Pelodiscus sinensis: one gene and its partner. Each later gene encodes a partner of the first gene's protein in a complex. Links are inferred from orthologs where the notes say so. Each region holds a gene or a part of one and is shown in the gene's direction. Other genes may lie near its edges.

The links. Proteins that work in one complex are often made in the same cells at the same time.
Region 2: the proteins of KCNQ1 (region 1) and KCNE3 are in contact, whole or in part, in a cryo-EM structure (PDB 6V01), measured with the Homo sapiens proteins. The link is inferred for Pelodiscus sinensis from reciprocal best matches to the Homo sapiens genes KCNQ1 and KCNE3. Residues at the interface, in NP_000209.2 of Homo sapiens: Arg116, Pro117, Thr118, Gly119, Trp120, Cys122, Phe123, His126, Phe127, Phe130, Leu134, Leu137, Ile138, Val141, Leu142, Ile145, Gln147, Tyr148, Arg181, Met238, Val241, Asp242, Gln244, Thr247, Lys362, Asn365, Ile368; in NP_005463.1 of Homo sapiens: Asp54, Asp55, Asn56, Ser57, Tyr58, Ile61, Met65, Phe68, Ala69, Val72, Gly73, Leu75, Ile76, Leu77, Tyr79, Thr80, Arg81, Ser82, Arg83, Val85, Lys87, Asp90.

Annotation. Positions count from the first base shown.
Region 1 is NC_134714.1:115,475,630-115,479,229, reverse strand, and holds the start of KCNQ1 (potassium voltage-gated channel subfamily KQT member 1), read left to right. Parts: upstream 1-1,083; 5' UTR 1,084-1,221; coding exon 1,222-1,637; intron 1,638-3,600. UniProt on the Homo sapiens protein: Pore-forming subunit of the voltage-gated potassium (Kv) channel involved in the regulation of cardiomyocyte excitability and important in normal development and functions of myocardium, inner ear, stomach and colon.
Region 2 is NC_134711.1:322,494,000-322,497,817, reverse strand, and holds the start of KCNE3 (potassium voltage-gated channel subfamily E member 3), read left to right. Parts: upstream 1-1,670; 5' UTR 1,671-1,880; intron 1,881-3,818. UniProt on the Homo sapiens protein: Ancillary protein that functions as a regulatory subunit of the voltage-gated potassium (Kv) channel complex composed of pore-forming and potassium-conducting alpha subunits and of regulatory beta subunits.

The DNA of each region.
Region 1 (3,600 bases):
AGACAGGGGTGCTTCTTTCGTTTCCCTTTCCAGGGCTTATGTATTGCTCAGAGGTGCCACCCAGATCTGGTCCCATCCTAAGGCAGCATCCTGGGCCCTCTTCAGGGAGCCAGCGATGCCACCCGCGCATTGTGGGGCATTGTCTGTCCCAGCCCCGGCCCCATGGCACGGAGACAGCCATGCCACCCGCGCATTGTGGGGCACTGTCTGTCCCATCCCCGGCCTCATGGTATGGAGCCAGCCATGCCACCCGTCCATTGTGGTGCACTGTTTGTCCCATCCCCGGCCTCATGGTACGGAGCCAGCCATGCCACCGCCCATTGTGGGGCACTGTCTGTCCCAGCCCCGACCCCATGGTAAGGAGCCAGCCATGCCACCCTCGCATTGTGGGGCACTGTCTGTCCCAGCCCCGACCCCATGGTAAGGAGCCAGCCATGCCACCCGCGCATTGTGGGGCACTGTCTGTCCCAGCCCCGACCCCATGGTAAGGAGCCAGCCATGCCACCCTCGCATTGTGGGGCACTGTCTGTCCCAGCCCCGACCCCATGGTAAGGAGCCAGCCATGCCACCCTCGCATTGTGGGGCACTGTCTGTCCCAGCCCCGACCCCATGGTAAGGAGCCAGCCATGCCACCCTCGCATTGTGGGGCACTGTCTGTCCCAGCCCCGACCCCATGGTAAGGAGCCAGCCATGCCACCCGCACATTGTGGGGCACTGTCTGTCCCAGCCCAGGCCCCACAGCAGGGAGCCTCCCACATGTTGCGGGGCACTGTCTGTCCCAGCCCCCGAACGGGCAGCGCCTATGGGGTTGACTTGACACTGGCTCTGACAAGGGGGAGGGGAAAGGCGCAGCCCCCAGCAAGCCCGGCGCGGGCTTGGCCGCCACCCGGCGGCCGGAGCAGCTCGCGCAGCGGCTGAGGGGAATGGCCGGGGGCCAGGCAGCTCCCGCTGCCACCCGGGCTCGCAGCCTCCCTCGGGTCGGGTGGCAGGGAGGCGGAGACCTCGTACCTTTCACGGCGGGGCCGTCCCTCGGGGTGGGCCGGGCTAGGCGCTCCGGGAGCGGGGGAGGGAGCGTGCGAGACTCCCCAGCGGTGGGCTGGCTGTCCCTCCCGCCTTCCTTCCCCGGGGCAGCGCCGGGGCTGCATCCCGCCCTGCCCTGCCCTGCGGCGGCTTGCCCCGCCGCCTCCTTCCCCGCGCACACGCCTCCCTCCCCCTCCGGTCATGACCTCCGCCTCCCCCAAGTCTGAGAAGAGACGCTGGAGCTTGGGGCGGCTGCCTGCGTCCCGGAAAGGCAGCATGACTCCCAGCAAGAAGCCCTCCGCCCTGGAGCTGGCCGAAAACACCCCCCATGCCCACTACGCCCCGATGGCCGCGGTCCAGGAGCCGAGGCAGCCGGATGCCAGCCCGCCCGCGGAGCCGGATCGGGACGCGGATCGGGGCGAGCCGCCGTTCAAGAGCGAGATGGTGGTGGTGAACACGGACACGGACTGCCCCCGGCCCCACATCAGCCCGGACCCTCGGGTCTCCATCTACAGCATTCGCCGCCCGCTGCTGAGCAGGACCCACATCCAAGGCAGGGTCTATAACTTCCTAGAGAGACCCACCGGCTGGAAGTGCTTCGTGTATCACTTCACTGTGTGAGTAGTCCGCTGCGCACCCCATGGGGCCACCGTGCCCTGGCGGGGCGATCAGCACCGGGTCCTGCAGCCCGCCCTCTGATGTCCTTCTGGCCGCTGCTCGCGGTCAAATGCTGCTGCTGCCATCATGGGCACCACTTTGGCAAAGTGGGGGTGGCGGGGTGGAGAGCAAGGGCAGCCTGCTTCCTAGGCTTTGGCATGGTGATTACAGTCAGCTGTGGAAGGAAAGCTCTGACTTTTTCTTGGAAAGGACACACTGCACTGAGCTAACCTGCTGTCTTTCAAACTCCAGCAGACCGACTTACAAAGCAGCCTGTGGTACATTTCACATCCCCAGTTTTATTAATAGTTTGTTGTTGCGCTCCCTGGTCAGAGCAAAAATGTATTTTGCTGGGTCAGGTGTGCATGTGCACAGATGTGGGTCCTGCGGAGATTCTACACTACTTTCATTTTAGGTTTTCTAAACAAAATCTGCCTAGTCAAGTAAATGTAAATCTTATCTAGTCTGGCCTGTATCTATTTTTAATGAATGTATTTGACCTATGCATGTTCCATTCATTCATTACTGTTCTTGAGCAAGGTGGTGAGCAAGGCATGAAGTATTGAGAACTCCTTATGCTAGCCATGTTACCAGAGCAAATAAATTTTGTTCTTCGCAGGGCAGTTTAATCTATCTGTTAATGCTTGTTTGAGAAATTATTCTGGGCTGATTCTGTTACCCTTTCTCACACTGGATAGTGCTCTACTCTGCAAGTACTCCCACAGAAATCCCCAGGACTGTTAATTGACTTATGGCCCACAGAGGGAGGAGAAGGAAAATGTCAGTGTAGGTAATGTGCCAGAATCTGGTTCAAGTGATTGGGCCCTTAGTACCTATAAAGATTGCATCAAACATCTTTGTAATGACTGAACTGAGCAATAATAGCACCTGTTTTGAAAGTCTAGCTTGTTAACCCACTTCCTCACTTTATATGGCCTTTACCTCTTTCCCTAGGACCTACAGATTGGCAGGAGTTTGACTGAATTTCTTTAGTTATGAAGTATTGCAATACTTGTCTTCTGGTTTTCTGGTAGGCATAACAAGCTTTAAACATCAAACTTTTGCCCATAGGCATCTCATTCCAGATTGTGCATAAAAAGTCCAAAACAGCCCTATAGTTATGTCATAGTGGGCCTTAAAAAAAATAAAATCCAAGAATTGAAGATGCCTTACATATTTCTTAGAATAAGAAAATAGCATCAGGTGCCTTTCATAACGAGGTGTTCTTTTTATGGCTGACACAAATTATTTCTTCTTGTTGATATAGAAAGAGATAAAGTAGGTTACATCTTAAATGCTTAATGGTTCATTCTTTGATGCAAATCAGGCTTTTAAATAATTTATTCTGAATTATTCAGTAACAGTATATTATTTCTTTCGCCATCCCCTTCACATTAGGTATTGTAATTATTCTGCTGCTGCAGCCCCTCTAAAGGAAGACAGATGATGTAGTGGATGGAAATGGTAGCTTTACCTGGCCTGAGTCTATTATGGAGACAGTCATTCGTGACATTTTCCCTAGCTTATAATGGTGCCATTACTCCTAGGCTACGTCTACACTGTAGGCTTTTTGCGCAAGAACAACTGTTCTTGTGCAAAAACTTGTGTAGCATCTACACTGCACACGTGTTCTTGCTCAAGTAAATTTACAGTAAAGCGTCGGAAAAGAGGGCTTCTTGCACAAGAGTTATTCCTCTCTCCATGAGGAATAAGCCCTCTTGCGCAAGAGTTCTTGCGCAAGAAGGCAGTGTGGATGGGCAAGGAGTTTCTTGCGCAAGAAAGCCCTGTGGCTAAAATAGCCATCAGAGCTTTCTTGTGCAAGAGAGCATCACACTGCCATGGATGCGTGGATGCTCCTGTGCAAAAGCACTTGGCAGTGTGGATGTGCTCTTGCGCAAGTACTTTTGCACAAGAACTCTTGTG
Region 2 (3,818 bases), on another chromosome or scaffold:
AGCCCACAAGCCCTGGCAGAGCAGGGTGGGAAAAGTTCTGGAGGTGAGGGGCTCTCCTGGAAAATGTTCAAAGACCCTTCCTATCTAGGCCCCCAGCAGCAGCCACATGTCTAAGAACACCTCTGAATTGCTAACCTCAATCACACATAGTGGTGTCACATTATTGGATTTTAAAGTGAGCAGACAGATCACTGTTGCACCCACTGGTGGCATTTGCCCCAAATTCTGTTCATATCACAAAGTTCTGAATAAAGACATTGGTGGGATGGTACGCTACATTCCACGTCCTAATGACATAAAAAAACCAAACAATGGATACTTAAGAACAATTTCCAACTTCTCTATCAGCTTCATGTAGCATGGAGATTCTAATAGACTATTTCTTTCCTTTTTTTTTCTTTCTCTTCTCCCCATCCCTTATTTATTTTGAAACTGGATCTTTAATAACTCCATTCACCTGAAGAAGTGGGTTGTGCCCGCAAAAGCTCACAATACCATCTACATGTTTTGTTAGTCTATAAGGTGCTGCAAGAATATTTGTTTTTTAAATTTTTCCAGTTACAGACTAACTCCGTTACCCCCTGAAGCTTTTGAATTTACTGTGTTAGTCGACAGGATCTTCGTTTAAAATTTGCTTTAAAACTATGTCATTCGTGTGTTGCTGAAGATTATAAAATCGCATCTCTAAAAAATCGCTCCTACCTCAGCTGATGTTGGGCATAGAGGCACTAGTTTAATACTGCTGAGTAGGGCCCCATAAATCCTAATGATAGCCTTGCCACCTGGGTCCTTCTTCTCTATAAGAAGGAGTGAAACCATTGCTGAGTTGTCGCACCTCTTCCTGCTAAGGACTACACATCCTCACCAACCATCCCTCCTTACTCACCACAGCAAGCAATCTCACAGAATCACCTGGGACACTATAGTCTCCAAAGCTTCTCCTACCTTGCTCACCACTGTGCTAGCTGAGCACCTTCCCATAGCAAGGCAAGTAGCATCTGGAGTGGGCTGTAAATTCTCTCCTCTTCTTTCCCTGCCAACAGCACTCGTGCAGCATGGCTCCCACAGGCAGCTCTCAACCCAGACCGACCAGGGTTAAGGAGATCTGGGGGACATGGAACAAAGCCCAGGAGCACAGGGGCAGGCTGCCCAGCCGCTGCCTCTGCTCTCTGGGGAATCACACTTCCAGCTGCACAAGGGGCTTTCATTTCATTCAAGAGCAACTGGTGTCACAGAGCCCTCTAGGTCAGAGGGCAGCAAAGCTGGAGGCAGCGGCAGGGGGTGCTCTGGCTTGGGGAAGAGGAACAGGAAAGACTCAGAGTACAGAAGGGGGAAATGCTGGGCCAGCCCTTTCAGCTCCTCCTGACTTCCCTTAGACGGTTGCATCCGTGGGAGTGATGACTCTGGCCAAGCTGGGGCTGGGGCTGGGGGCATAGGGATGTGACCTGGGAGAGGGGACCCCAAGCCTGGGAGATGTGAGAGGGGGTTGGGACCCCTTACCTAGGGGATACGGTAGGGAGCCAGGAGCGGGGATCCCAAGCCTGGGGGACCTGGCAGGGGGCCGGGACCCCTCACCCCGGGACACGTGGCAGGGACCCTGGGCCCGGGTGTGTGGGGTGCCCCTAGGGCTGAGGGTCCCGGGGGGGGGCAGAAACTCGTGGCCCGAGGCTGGCGGGGCGGCGCTGCGGCCGAGGCTGGCGGGAGGCGATGGGGGGCAGCAGCAGGTGGCCCTGCCCCGGGACGCTGCGCTCCCTCCCAGCGGCGGGGGCGGGGCGGGGGCCGGGGCAGCCGCTCCCAGCGCGGCCCCCACGTGCTGCAGCCGGGCGAGTGCGGGCGGCCGGGGCCGGGAGAGCAGGACGGGCTGGAAGGCGCCGCGAGAGGTACCCCGGGATCCCCGTGTCTTCTCTAGGGAGCCTTTGCGACCCCCGAGCCTCCCCCACCCCGGGGGCTCCCACACCCTCCCCCCACGGAGCCCCCGCGCCTCGCTCCCGGGACCCCTGAACTCCTCCCCACGGAGCCCCTGCCCCGGAGACCCTTTGAGCCTGCCCTGGGATCCCCAGAGCCTTCCCTAGGGAGCCCCTGCCCTGGGGATCCCTGAGCTCCCTGATCCCCTACCCCAGCCACCCTGAACCTCCTAATCACTTTCCCTAGGGATCCACGGCCCCCTGCTCTGGGGACCCCCCAAACCGTCCCAGGACTCCTCCATCCTGTGCCATAGGACCCCCCTGAACCTCTATTCACCTTTCACCCCACTCCCTGCGCCAGAGAATCGCTTGATTTTCCCTCCAGCCCCGCACCTTCCCCAGAACACCACAATCCCATGTCCCTGGGGACTCCCTTGCCCTCCTGCACCTTTCGCCAAGGAGCCCTTACTCACCCTTCATCCACTCCCTACCCCCATCCCCAAATCCTCCCAAGCTCCCACCCCACAGCCCTGTGCCCCAGCCCCATTGTCCTTTTGCTGAAGGAGGTGCTGGGGGTTCAGGAAGAACCAGACTGCTCCGGGGTGACATGTACCTGCTACTATGAGTTATGGGAGGGAGGTGGAGGGGAGGTTGTCATAACTGGCAGGTTCTGGCCCTGTGTGTGTTGTGGAGAGTGCCTCTGCTTTGGACCTGGGGTGATGCAAAGCCAGAGTGAGTGTCGGTGACATTGACACTGGGGCAAGGAACGTGTCCTGACAAAAGTCCCTCTTCAGGCGCTTCATTTCTTTACAGAAAGTTTTAACCTTTGGGCTAAAAATATTGTCGGCTCCTGAAATCTGAGCGTCCTCTTGAGAGAGCCTGGGAAAGCCTTTTTGATCCACCCTTGTATTAGCAGGGAGAGGGGAGGTAGTTTTTCCTCAGGTGAGAGAAAACTTTAGGTGAGTAGGCACTGCTAAGTTTGAAGTAGAGGTGGGAATTGGTTGAATAATTATTAGTTATCTCTTGAATGTCTTGTCTAAAGGGTATGCAGGACTGCCCTCTACTGGATGGAGTGAGAACCCTTCAATTGTGTCAAGCTTTATGTTGCTAATATCATGGAGATTCTCCTTTAAGCACTTTGGGGGCAGCGACTGTTTTATTCTGTGTCTATACGGTGCCTAGCGCAATGATGTCCTGGTCTATGATTAGAGTCCCTGGGCACCATCATGTACAAATACTAATACAACGTGATGTGGGCTAATGATTGGGGAGCAGGGGGATCGGGACTTTCACCTGTCCCTGGGGAGTTCTAAGTGGCTACGGTGTGCAGCGTCATAGGAACTGGGAAGCCCTGGGTGACTATGGCTTAGTTACAGGAGATGGGAATCCTATATGGGGCATATGTAACTTGAACCAGCATGAGCCAACCAGCTTTGTTACAAGGGACCTCCAGTGACAAAACCATATAAGCCTCTAACAACAAAATAAAGCTTGAAAGCCCTTAGGGCAGGAGTCTCAAACCCATGGCCCATGCATCAGCCTGAGTAGTTCCATAAGCCAGTGCAGCGACCGAAACACTAGGTAGCAATTCCTGAGAAGTTGTACCAAATGTCATGTATGTATGACAGAAACTGTGACGGTCACAAAAACGGAGAGGTTTCACTTTTTGCCTATACACTGGCCCATGCAGCTGCTGGCACGTGAGTCTCTGCAGCCCTGGGGAGGGGAGGTATTCACACCCTTTCCCTGAGCTCAGCCCCTGCTCTGTCCTGTCCCACTCCTGCTCTGCCCTCTTGCCCCCTGCATTGTACCCTTTCCACCAACCCCCGCAAGGGATGCAGTCTTGGGGATTATCAGGAGTTGAGCAACTCCTCCCTCCACACTCACTGTAGGGGCAGGAGCCATGGTGAAGCG